Linked DNA regions of Macaca fascicularis. The main gene of each other region encodes a partner of the protein of the gene in region 3 in a complex. Links are inferred from orthologs where the notes say so. Each region holds a gene or a part of one and is shown on either strand. Other genes may lie near its edges. The genes, in order: LAMTOR2, FNIP1 and LAMTOR4.

Region 1 (4,163 bases), on a different chromosome or scaffold from region 3:
GTGAAACCCCGTCTCTACTAAAAATACAAAAAAAAAATTAGCCGGGCGCGGTGGCGGGCGCCTGTAGTCCCAGCTACTCAGGAGGCTGAGGCAGGAGAATGGCGGGAACCCGGGAGGCGGAGCTTGCAGTGAGCGGAGATCGCGCCACTGCACTCCAGCCTGGGCAACAGCGAGACTCCGTCTCAAAAAAAAAAAAAAAAAAAAGAAGGTTGATCAGCATTAAAAAAGAAAAAAGAAAAAATGAAGTATATTACATGTAGTAGGAAAAGTATTGTTTCATGACTTTTGTTTTAGTGGGTATATGTGTGTGTTGAGCTGTGACTTAAAATGTCTTTCTTAAAAAATTATTTCCTATTTATTTATTTATTTTTAAAAAAAGTTTTTGTAGAGATGAGGTCTTGTTAGGTCACCAAGGCTGGTCTCAAACTCCTGGCCTCAAGTATCCTCCAGCCTCAGTCTGTGTTGGGGTTACAGGAGTGAGACACTGCGCTCAGCCTTAAAATGTATTTGTTTTTTGTTTGTTTGTTTGTTTTGGTTTTTTTTTTGAGATGGAGTCTCGCTCTGTTGCCCAGGCTGGAGTGCAATGGCGTGATCTCAGCTCACTGCAACCTCCACCTCCTGGGTTCAAGTGATTCTCCTGCCTCAGTTTCCTTAGTGGCTGGGATTACAGGCACATGCCACCATGCCTGACTAATTTTTTGTATTTTTAGTAGAGACAGGGTTTCACCATGTTGGCCAGGCTGGTCTTGAACACCTGACCTCATGATCCGCCCGCCTCAGCCTCCCAAAGTGCTGGGATTACAGGCATGAGCCACCGTGCCGGCCCTTTAAAATATATTTCTTATGGCTGGGTTGTGGTCAAAACGTTTGAAAGCTATTTCCTTATAGCACCAGCTCTACGCATCCAGTAGGAGTCTTATGTTGAACTAAAAATGGCATTGGTTGTGCAGGGGATAGGGGAGAGTAGGCAGTTGAGTTACTATGAAGATCCTTCCTGGAGAGTTCACCCTCTGGCCGATTTGAAAAAAACAAAAGTAAGTTCGGCAAACTTTTACTAGGTATTCATTGTATGCCAGGAACCAAGCACTGCACTCCCTGCCTCTCTGACCTCATCTCCTACTTAACCCTCCTCCATTCTCATGCAACTCCAGCCATACCAACCAACCCTGTTGATCCTTGAGCAGGCATAATTCTGCCTCAGGGCCTTGGTACTTGCTGTTCTGTCCAAAATATTCTTCCCTCAGATAGCCACATGGCTTGTCCCCCACCTTTCTTCACATCTTTGATCAAATATCACCTTTCCAGTGAGACTGTCCCTGACACATACGCCCAACAAACTCATACTCTTTAACTTCCCTGCTTTCTCTCCATTGCAATTTCAATACCTAATATATACTACATATTTTACTTATTTTAAAAAATGTGGCCGGGCACAGTGACTCACACCTGTAATCCCATCACTTTGGGAGGCCGAGGTGGGTGGATCACTTGAGCCAGGAGTTTGAGACCAGCCTGGGCAACATGGCAAAACCCAGTCTCTGCAAAAAATCCAAAACTTAGTGAGGTGTGGTGGTGCATGACTGTAGTCACAGCTACTCAGGAGGCTGGGGCAGCAGGATCACCTGAGCCCAGGGAGGTCGAGGCTGCAATGAGCTGTGATCGCATCACTGTGTAAGATTTATTAGGTCTGGGGGTTTTGTCTTTCTGTTTGCTGTTTTTTTTTCCCTAGTCCTGAGAACACTGCAAGGACCTAAATATTTGTTAACTGAACAGATACTAGGAAGTTCACAGTCTAATGGCGACTTCCCCTTTCTGGACTTCATTTTCCTTTCTTTGTAACCTTAAGGGGTTGGACTAGGGTCTGGAGACTGCCATGGTTCTGTGAGTCGGTGAAGCTGGGATGACAACACTTTGTGTTTGCACGTCATTCTACTGTTTATACCCATTATTTCATTTGACCTTCACAACAACCCACGAGGGGAGCGGGGAGAGGGAAATTGTCTTCTCCTTAGACATGAGGTAAGGAAGCTGAGAGAGGTTAAGCGACTTACCCAAGGTTCCACAACTGATAAGTGGATGGCTGAGACCAGAACCCAAGTCAGACCTCTCAGGTCCAGGGCTCCTTCCTCACCACCACTTGATGAATAGGGTCCTGCCTATTACAAATGCTGCTGCAGACCAACTCTTAGTAATCTTCCGGAGATCCTGTCCCTGCCCCTCCAACCATCCAGGATGGGGTCCAGGTCGCCCCCTTGGGATCCCCTTGGGGGACAGGGGAAGTCTGGCTCCCCTCTCCATACCATGCAGTCCATGAGGATGAATTTGAGATTGTCTTCATTAAATGCTTGGTTCCCGTTCCGGTCGTAGGCGGCCCAGATGTTACTGGCTATGGCAGCGGTGACCCGGGCGTCAGTGTCCCCGTAACCAGAGTAGGCCAGCAGTGATCCCTCGTTATTCAGCAGCCTGGTGAGGGGCGGGGAGGGATAACGATGTGCTCAGCGCGGGGAGTAAAACGTCTGGGTTTCCATCTCAAGTCCCGCCACGGGCACATCCAGCAAGGCTCTCGGCTGAGTGTGTCCCGGAACGTGCCCTAAGCACCCAGCACACCGGCCTCCCTTTTCGAGAGGTGACCTCCCGGCCGGTACCCCCAGCCACTGCCCCCTCTGACGCCTCCTCCCTTCCGGGCGATCCTTCCCCACCCCTCCCTCAGGGAGTCGCACGCCGCTCCACTGCAGCGCGCGCCGCTGGGGTCCGTGGTCCGCACTCACAGGGTGCTCTGGACGCCTCCAGTGTTGGCTTGGCTTAGCACCTGGGTCAAAGCCTTGGGGCGCAGCATGCCTACCGCTCCTAACCCTGGGTTTTTGCACCCAGATCCTCCGAGATGCCTCCCGCGGGCCGCTGCCCGCTGCTTCCCGTAGTCCCGTTGGCCTGCTCCGGGATGCCCTGGGAGTTGTAGTTTCCTCGCCTGGCTATTGTGGTTCCGACTCAACACCGCCCCGCCGCGGGGGTCTCTGGGAATCGTAGTTCCTCGTGACCTCGCGAGGCACCATGGGAACTATAGTTCGCCTTTCCAGGCGGACCACGCGGTTGTGGGGGCGGAAAAGAGCGGGAGTGAAAGGACAGCTGCAGCGCTGGAAGGACATTTAACCCCTTCGGGGAGAAAGGAATCAACGTGTCCGCTTGGCAGTCCACGATTCAATAATTATACTACATCCTCATATTTGTCAGGCACGCCTTTGGTTACTTTCAAAACAGTTTTCTCCGTTATGCACAATTCTGTGCGATGAGGCGAGAGGTACTATTATTATCTTGAGGAAATCAAGGCTCTGAAAGGCCACGCAGCCAAAACCCAGCTCCCTGGAACCGTTCGCAACAGACCATTTAGGCCGCGACCCTCGGGGCTATAGGGTCAGTCCTAGAGCTGAGATCCTAAGTGGACGTGCTTGGTGGGAAAACCCAACCTCCAAGTCGGGAAAGGCCCCTGGCCTGGAAGGGACTTGGGGCTTCCAAGAAAGACCAAGTTATCACAGGGAACGGAGATAAAGCGGCGACACACAAAGTCCTTTGTCCCGGAGCAGAGTTAGCCGCGGAGGGGGCGGGGAGGCTTTGGGCCGGAGGGGACGGCGGCACGGCTCGGGCGAGCAGCGTTGGGCCGCGGTCTCCCGGGGAGTTCGCCCTCGCCCCCGCAGTGAAGGGCACGTCCCTTCCCCCGCCCAGAGCCTCCCCAGGAGCCCCAGCTTGGCGAGACCCTGGCCGGATTCCGGACCTGGGGCTTGGCCCTGGGCGGACCCCGCTGCAGTGGCCCCCCCGGTCCGCCCGGGGCGCTGTGGCTGCGGCTGGTCTGGAGGGGGCGGTGAAGCCTCTGGGAGGGGAGGGGAGAGGAGGGGAGGGGAGGGGAGGGGAGAGGTGGAGAGAGGGGAGTGTTGGAGGCGCAGGAGCCGAGCCGGGCCGGCCGGGCGGGCGGGGAGGAGGAGGAGCCGGGCGGGCTGGCGGGCGGCCGGGTGGCGGCGGCGGCATGGCGGAGCCGAGCGGGGCCGAGACGAGGCCCCCTATTCGGGTCACCGTCAAGACCCCTAAGGACAAGGAGGAAATTGTGATCTGCGATCGAGCCTCGGTCAAGGAGGTAGTACAGCAGGCGGGAGGCGGGGGGAGCGCGGAGGAGG
Region 2 (3,644 bases), on a different chromosome or scaffold from region 3:
CATTCAGTTCCTACAGCAATTTTTTTATCTGAACTCTCTTTATCCCCATGGGGGACAAGAATGGAGAGTGTATCTCTTTGGTCCTGCTGAGGAAAGCAGGTTTTACATGAATCTTGGGGAACTGTTTCTATACATTTACAAAATTCATTGTTCTGTTTGTTATTTTTTGCACACAATATTTTTGAAAACTCTAACATACAGCAATGGTCTTTACTATCTGCACTTGTTTTAATTGGAACATCATCAATAGTCCTGGTTTCAATTGAATCATCATTAAAATATTCGTCAAATAAGCTCATGCTTTCTGGGTCTGAATGATTCCAACAGGGAAGTTCACAGGGCTCTTCAGAAACCATGTTCTGTATATCAGACTCTCCAGATTGGTCCTTAGTTGTTTGTTTAGTTTCTTGATGCTGATCAACAGCCCCTCTTTCTGGCTTCAATGGTTTGGTGTGATGTCTGGTAATCTGATCCACCACTGCCTGACTTCGAAGCTCAGTATCTGAATCAGGTGACATAGAATCCCCAATCAGGAAAGTAACCTTTGTCTGGGCAGCCTCACAAGAAAATGAAGCAGGCACAATCTTATCTGGAGGTTTTTTCTCCACAACCATTCCTGTGGATCTCATTGCTTTGCCTGTGTGACTGTCTGAATCCAGCAACTTCTCACTCTGCCATGTTTCCTCTGTTGGCTCTAAGCCTGACTCTGACAATGCACATTTGTCTACTGGAACAGATCCTGTGCAAACAACCGTCTCTAACTTGGCATCAAGGCAAGTTCTTAATTTATCTCTGTACTGTTTAACATCAACAGCATTTTCTTCTTGGCAGTCAGAAGGAGAAATCATCCGGCACTCATCTGAAATTCCTAGCAGCTCCTTAGAGCTGTTTTGAGCATCTTCTCTCTCTTGTTGTGAAATGTTCTCTACATTTTGCCCAAGGAGTGGATGACTGCAATATTTACAGTTACAACTGGGAGTTCTTATTTCTTCTGACTCTTTAAAGAGCAAACTGCTTTTGTTTCTATGCATTGTGACAAGGACATACTCCGATTCTTCTATTTCACCTTTCTCTAAAGTGGTAGTAATTACTGTGCCTGGCATAACGATGGCTTCATCTTCTCCATTTTCTAAAAGATGCGTTTCTTGAAGTTCAGAGCATCTTATAAAATAAGTAAGAAAATAAAGTAGCCTCTGGACCATGTCTTGTCGTTTGCCAACTACCACAGTCCTTGCTAACCGTACAGGAGAGCCAATAGCGCCATACAAGTCTCCTGTAATGGAAAAATCAGTTATTGGACACATCCTTTACTGACACAGCTAAGTAAGCTATTTTTAATGATCAGAAACCTAATCTTACTGTATGAGTAGTTGTTTAGGTTTTACTTTTTTTTTTTTTTTTTTTTTTTTGAGACAGGGTCTCACACTGTAATCCTGGCTGGAGTACAGTGGTACAGTCATGGTTCACTGCAGCCTCAGCCTCCTAGGCTCAAGTAATTATCCTACCTCAGCCTCCTGAGTAGCTGGGACTATAGGTATGTGCCACCACACCTGGCTAATTATCTGTATTTTTTTTTGTAGAGACAGAGTTTTGCCATGTTTCCTAGGCTGATCTTGAGTTCCTGGGCTCAAGCAATCCACTGGCCTTGGCCTCCCACAGTACTGGGATTACAGGCATGAGCCAACATGCCTGGCCTCATTCTTAGTTCTTTAACAGATGAGTGACTATTCAAGGGAGGAAGATGAGATGAATAGTCTTAACCAGAAAGAAAGGTGAATTTAAGGGTTTTCAGGCTTCCTCTTTAAACAAATGCTATGGTTCAGAAACCTCAAGCAAAGAGTCAGTTCTGAAACTCACATATCCCAAGAATATTCTTTAACCCAGGCTCCATGAAGAGCATTTTTACCTGGTTAGAGAAGTACTGCCTGAAGTACTATGTACACAAGGACTCTGCAGCTGTGTCCAATCAAGAAAAGACAAAGCACAATATCTGCTGGCTTGCAAGGACAGGAAAGGAGTAGCGGTAAAATGGAGCAAAGCTAGAGTAGTCACACCACACACTTAATCATTCCTGATTTAAATCATATCTCTGGGGCCAGGCACGGTGGCTCACGCTTGTAATTCCAGCACTCTGGGAGGCCGAGATGGGTGGATCACTTGATATCAGGAGTTCAAGACCAGCCTGGCCAACATGGTAAAACCCTGTACTTACTAAAAATACAAAAATTAGCCAGGTGTTGTGGTGGATGCCTGTAGTCCCACCTACTCGGGAGGCTGAGGCTGGGGAATTGCTTGAACCCAGGAGGCAGAGGGTGCACTGAGCTGAGATGACACCATTGCAATCCAGCCTGGGCGACAAGAGTGAAACTCCGTCTCAAAAAAAAAAAAAAGAAACAAAGAAATAAAATTAAAAAGTAAGTCATATCTCTAAACTTTAACTGTTGTTCCCCTAGCCAGCACCCCATCCCACCAGCTCCCATGTTAGTAAGAGCCTATTTTCCCCTTCCATTCCCTAGAGGGTTGGGTACACAGGATAGGCCAGAAGGGGCAGGAAGAGAGAGACTCATCCTTACTAAAAGGAAAAGAAAGGGCAACGAGTTTAGCCATGCAATTCATTTTCACTTTTGAACCCATTCTAAACATGACTAGCGATTATGTTAAAAGCAGGGGAAGTGAGGGGGTCAGGACTAGAAATTATCATTTCTATATTTATGCTATACTTCAAATTAAACCAGTAATTTCAGTGCCAAAACTATGGAGAACAGGGCTGGGCATGGTGGCTTATGCAGGTAATCCCAGCATTTTGGGAGGTGGAAGCAGGCTGATCACTCGAACCCAGCAGTTTAAGACCAGTCTGGGTAACATGGCAAAACTCTCGTCTCTACAAAAAAATACAGAAAATTAGCTGGGCATGGTGGCTTGCTCCTGTAATCCCAGCTACTTGAGAGGAAAAGGTGGAAGAATCACCTGAGCCCAGGAAGCTGAGGCTGCAGTGAACTGTGATCGCACCACCGCACTCTAGCCTGTGCGATACAGTGAGACCCTGTCTCAAGAAAGAAAGAAAAGAAAAAGGAGAATACAAAGCCACTAATTTCAACTTAATTTAATTTTTGCAAGTTGTTAGTATATACATTTAAAATCCTCTATTTTTACTTTACAAAGCCCTCACACTTTTTAAAGGAACAAATATAAATAGGTCTCAAATAAATACATGCTATAGGTATTATTATGATAAATTTTCTCCTCTGGCTAACACACTGGCTCAAATATCACCATGCCACTGTTCTAAATTACTCCCACGATTCCCACGAATTACCAAGTAAGTTGAAATTACTTTGGTATGGCAAGTGAGTCTTTCATGATTCCCATTTTACTTTTCCAGCTTTATCTTCTTATACTTATCCTCCTTCTTGGCAGTCAGAAGAAGAAATCATCTTTATTCATGCAAAGACCCAGTTAAACTGGACCACTGAATATGCTCTGCACTTTTAACACCTACTCTTTACTCATGTGATGTCCTGTCCCTTTCCTCAATATCTCTGCCAGTCCATAGCTTCCCACCTAAGCATCCTCACTTGGGCAAAAGTAGGCTCCCCTGTTCAACTCCTACTAAACTTTTCATTTCTCTTATAGTTCCTCCTTGA
Region 3 (4,249 bases):
GGCTTGAGCCACCGCGCGCGGCCTTAAGGAACATGTTTCTTAAGGCATCATCACTCTTCCAGGCTTTAGAGTTCTAGCTAGAGAAGTATTTCTTTTATTACCTATTTCTAGTCATTAGCAAGATATACTGATTCCTCCTTTAAAATATCTTCTCCCAGCCAAGCACAGTAGCTCATACCTATAATCCCAGCACTTTGGGAGGCCAAGGCAGGAGGACTGATGGAGGCCAGGACTTCGAGACCAACCTGGGCAACATAGCAAGACCCCTGTCCCTATAAATTTTTTTTTTTTTAATGGCTGGGCGTGGTGGTGCTTGCCTATAGTTCTAGTTACTTGGGATGCTGAGGTGGGAGGATCGCTTGGGCCCAGGAGTTCAAGACTGCAATGAGATGTGATCACACTACTGCACTTCAGCCTGAGTGACAGCAAGACTCTGTCCTAAAAAAAAAAAAAAAAAAAGGGCCGGGCGCGGTGGCTCATGCCTGTAATCCCAGCACTTTGGGAGGCTGAGGTGGGCAGATCACAAGGTCAGGAGTTCGAGACCAGCCTGGCCAACATGGCAAAACCCCATCTCTACTAAAAATACAAAAATTAGCCGGGTGTGGTGGCATACGCCTGTAATCCTAGCTACTCAGGAGGCTTAGGCGGGAGAATCGCTTGAACCTGGGAGGCGGAGGTTGCCCTGAGCTGAGATCATGCCACTGCACTCCAGCCTGGGCCACAGAGCGAGACTCTGTCTCAAAAAACAACAAAAACAAAAACAAAACTCTTCTCTCCTTGCTCCTTCTTACTGCCACTTGCCCAGTCTCATCTCTTTTTTTTTTTTTTTTTTTTTGAGACGGAGTCTTGCTCTGTCACCCAGGCTGGAGTGCAGTGGTGCAATCTTGGCTAACTGCAACCTCCGCCTTTCTGGTTCACGCCATTCTCCCGCCTCAGCCTCCCGAGTAGCTGGCGCCCACCACCACGCCTGGCCAATTTTGTTTTTGTATTTTTAACAGAGACAGGGTTTCACCGTGTTGGCCAGGATGGTCTAGCTCTCCTGACCTCGTGATCCACTCGCCTTGGCCTCCCAAAATGCTGGGATTACTAAAGACCTGAGCCACCTATGCCTGGCCCAGTCTAATCTCTTAATGATGCCTCCTTCTGCCCATCTTCACATCACTAACAACAATATTGCTCAACCACCTCACTGGGTCTTGTTTCTGTTTAAAAAACCTTTCAAGCTGTATTACCTCCAAGAAGAATAAGTTCAAGTGTGTTAACCTGGCCTTGAAGATCCTTCACAATCAGATCCTCCCTGACCATATCTTCCTCTTCCCTCAAATCTTCCCAAATCTTTTCAGCACAGACTTACCATCAGTTTAGAAAGGTCAGTGCCACACACCTGCAAATATGTCCACCTCCCCACTGTAAATACTCTCCTTTAAGCTGGGCTGAATTCCTACCTCCAGGGAAGTTAGTTACCTTGTCATAACATGTTGAATTTTTAATATCCTGGATTCCTTCAATAGTCTTTTACCACCTGTATTGTTTTCAACACTTAACCTTAAGCTTTGTCTCTAGCTAAATCAAAAACATCTAGAGACCTAACACTATACAGTACTATGGAACAAAATACAAATGACTCTTTAAGAAATATCAAATAAAGGCCAGGGATGTTGGCTCACGCCTGTAATCCCAGCACTTTGGGAGGCTGAGGCAGGTGGATCACCTGAGGTCAGGAGTTTGAGACCAGCCTGGCTAACACGGTGAAACCCCGTTTCTACTAAAAATACAAAAAATTAGCCGAGCGTGGTGGCACATGCCTGTAATCCCAGCTACTCTGGAGGCTGAGGCAGGACAATCGCTTGAACCCCGGAGGCGGAGGTTGCAGTGAGCGGAGATCGCACCACTGCACTCCAGCTTGGGCAACAAGAATGAAACTCAGTTTCAAAAAGTGTAAATAAATAAATAAATAAATAAACCGCAACCGTTAGGAGACTAAGATTCCACAGACTGATTACTGAAAGTAATTGCAAAAACTGCAAATACTTTTGTACCAACCTAATAGATGCCAGACCGCAAACCAGGTAAAAGTCGAGAAAAGAAGGGCCAATATTAGAAGGGGTTACCGGGCTGTGTGCACTAAGGGACCCCCTCCCTTTTCCAGAACGCACCGCCAGCACTGCACCTTCACTCAGTACCAGGTAGCCGAGCTGGTCTGGGATTCGCTCCAGCCCCTGGGTCAGTGCAGAAGTCTAGTGGGTAAAGATGCAAGTAGTGAGAAGCATGCTAGAGGGATGGATGGCCCCTGATACCCTTCACCTACAAACCCAAGTCTCTTGATTGGCGATGGCCCCAGGTTTTCTCATTCCCCAGCCAGGTCCTTTCCCGGCTCCCTTCCCCCTACATGGTCCTCAATACTGATCTTCCCGAGCCTCCATCTGCCCCCACTCTCGGCCCCCGGGCTCCCCTGGCCTTCCACGCTCCACCTATGCTACTCCGAGGGGACTTCGCTGCCCCACTGGCCCCTGCCCCCAGACCCTCTCTCCACCTCCCCGCCCCTGACCTGCAGACTACCCGCAGCCCCAGAACACCCTCCCACAGACCCCTCCCCAGCATTCCCGTCGCCATCCCTCCCATCTCCATCCCGTCTTCCTCCCCGAGCGGATAGGAGGTGAGGGTGGAGCGCAGACCCACGAGGGGGAAACCACACAGATTGGGGAGCAGAGACGCGGAACCCCCGGCGGGTCCTCCCGCGCATGCGTCCTCACTCACCATCGCAGTCTTCGGTGCTGGTGGAGCTCCCTACCAGATAGGTAGCTTCCGGCTTCAGGCCCCGGTCACGTGCTCGCACCCGGCGCGCTCCTCCTTCTGCTTGCTTCCCTACCCTTTAGCCGCGCCTCTAGCATGAGGATTGGATCGTGGCCACGTCGTCAGACCCAACCAGCCAGTGCGAAGCGCTCCTTCCCGGAGGCGCACGTTGATTGGTGATATCCCCTCTTTAACACCCATCTCTCCGCCTCTCAGTCAGTGCCTGAGCGAGAGGAGGCGGGAGTGCTTCCGCGGAGGGGACGGTGTGGGAGGGCCAGGAGTGGGACAGGGTTGACCGTGTGGCTCCGCGCGCGCTTTCTAGAGTCTGGGTTCCGCCTGAACCAGGATGCCCGCCAGTGTGACCTCCCAAACGAATGCCTTCCCAGGTTTAAGACTGGACCCAAAAAACGTGATAATAAAAGGAAATAACGTGCAATGCATGTAAAAAGCTATTCAAGGCTGGGCGCCCAACCTTCAAATGCTACTTTTATGCCTACTCAAGACCGCTCTTTGTTGAAGACAAGAATTTGTTCCCTTGGCCGGGCGCGGTGGCTCACAACTGTAATCCCAGAACTTTGGGAGGCCGAGGCGGGCGGATCACGAGGTCAGAAGATGGAAACCATCCTGGCTAACACAGTGAAACCCTGTCCCTACTAAAAAATACAAAAAATTAGCTAGGCGTGGTGGCGGGCGCCTGTAGTTCCAGCTATTCGGGAGGCTGAGGCAGGAGAATGGCGCGAACCTGGGAGGTGGAGCTTGCAGTGAGTCGAGATGACGCCACTGCACTCCAGCCTGGGAGACAGCGAGACTACATCTCAAAAAAAAAAAAAAAAAAAAAAAAAAAGATTTTGTTCCCAAAGTGGTTTTTTGTCTTCAGATTCAGTCTGGGACAATGTGATGGTGAATAGAATCACCAGCTAGCCAATGCAGATACAATACTGAATATTCTCTGCAGGAAAAAATTAGAAACAGTACCTTGGAATGATACACACACACACACATACATACATACATACATACATACATCACACAATGTAAACATTGGAAATTTTTGTTTTAAATAATTTCTAGACCTGTTGCCGTATTAATGTGGTGGAGGCAGTGTTAGTGAGTAATATGAAGAGTGATTCTAGAAGCCTGGGCAACATAGCAAGACCCCATCTCTAAAAATTTAAAAATTAACCAGGCATGATACCGCACATGTAGTCCCAGCTACCGGGGAGGCTGAGGTGGGAGAATTGCTTGAGCCCAGGAGTTTGAAGCTGCAGTGAGCCATGATCATGCTACTGCACTCCAGACTGGGTAAAAGAGCAAGATTGTCTCAAAAACAAACCAAAAAAATCTGAATATAGTAACAATTGTTGAAGTCTGGGTGTCTTTTAAGACTTGTTAGAAACAACAATCAAGGCTGGGCATGGTAGCTCACACCTGTAATCCCAGCAGTTTGGGAGACCAA

Evidence for each region.
Region 1: LAMTOR4 (region 3) and LAMTOR2 share a complex: the UniProt entries of both Homo sapiens proteins name them as parts of the ragulator complex. The link is inferred for Macaca fascicularis from reciprocal best matches to the Homo sapiens genes LAMTOR4 and LAMTOR2.
Region 2: LAMTOR4 (region 3) and FNIP1 share a complex: the UniProt entries of both Homo sapiens proteins name them as parts of the lysosomal folliculin complex. The link is inferred for Macaca fascicularis from reciprocal best matches to the Homo sapiens genes LAMTOR4 and FNIP1.

The regions. Positions count from the first base shown.
Region 1 is NC_088375.1:105,027,230-105,031,392, forward strand, and holds the start of LAMTOR2 (ragulator complex protein LAMTOR2), read right to left. Parts: upstream 2,926-4,163; 5' UTR 2,837-2,925; coding exon 2,769-2,836; intron 2,464-2,768; coding exon 2,301-2,463; intron 1-2,300. Other genes in the region: UBQLN4 (ubiquilin-4), read left to right, coding at 4,016-4,123. UniProt on the Homo sapiens protein: As part of the Ragulator complex it is involved in amino acid sensing and activation of mTORC1, a signaling complex promoting cell growth in response to growth factors, energy levels, and amino acids.
Region 2 is NC_088380.1:138,207,733-138,211,376, forward strand, and holds part of FNIP1 (folliculin-interacting protein 1), read right to left. Parts: intron 1,274-3,644; coding exon 1-1,273. UniProt on the Homo sapiens protein: Binding partner of the GTPase-activating protein FLCN: involved in the cellular response to amino acid availability by regulating the non-canonical mTORC1 signaling cascade controlling the MiT/TFE factors TFEB and TFE3.
Region 3 is NC_088377.1:48,815,627-48,819,875, reverse strand, and holds the start of LAMTOR4 (ragulator complex protein LAMTOR4), read right to left. Parts: upstream 2,835-4,249; 5' UTR 2,761-2,834; coding exon 2,758-2,760; intron 2,238-2,757; coding exon 2,157-2,237; intron 1-2,156. UniProt on the Homo sapiens protein: As part of the Ragulator complex it is involved in amino acid sensing and activation of mTORC1, a signaling complex promoting cell growth in response to growth factors, energy levels, and amino acids.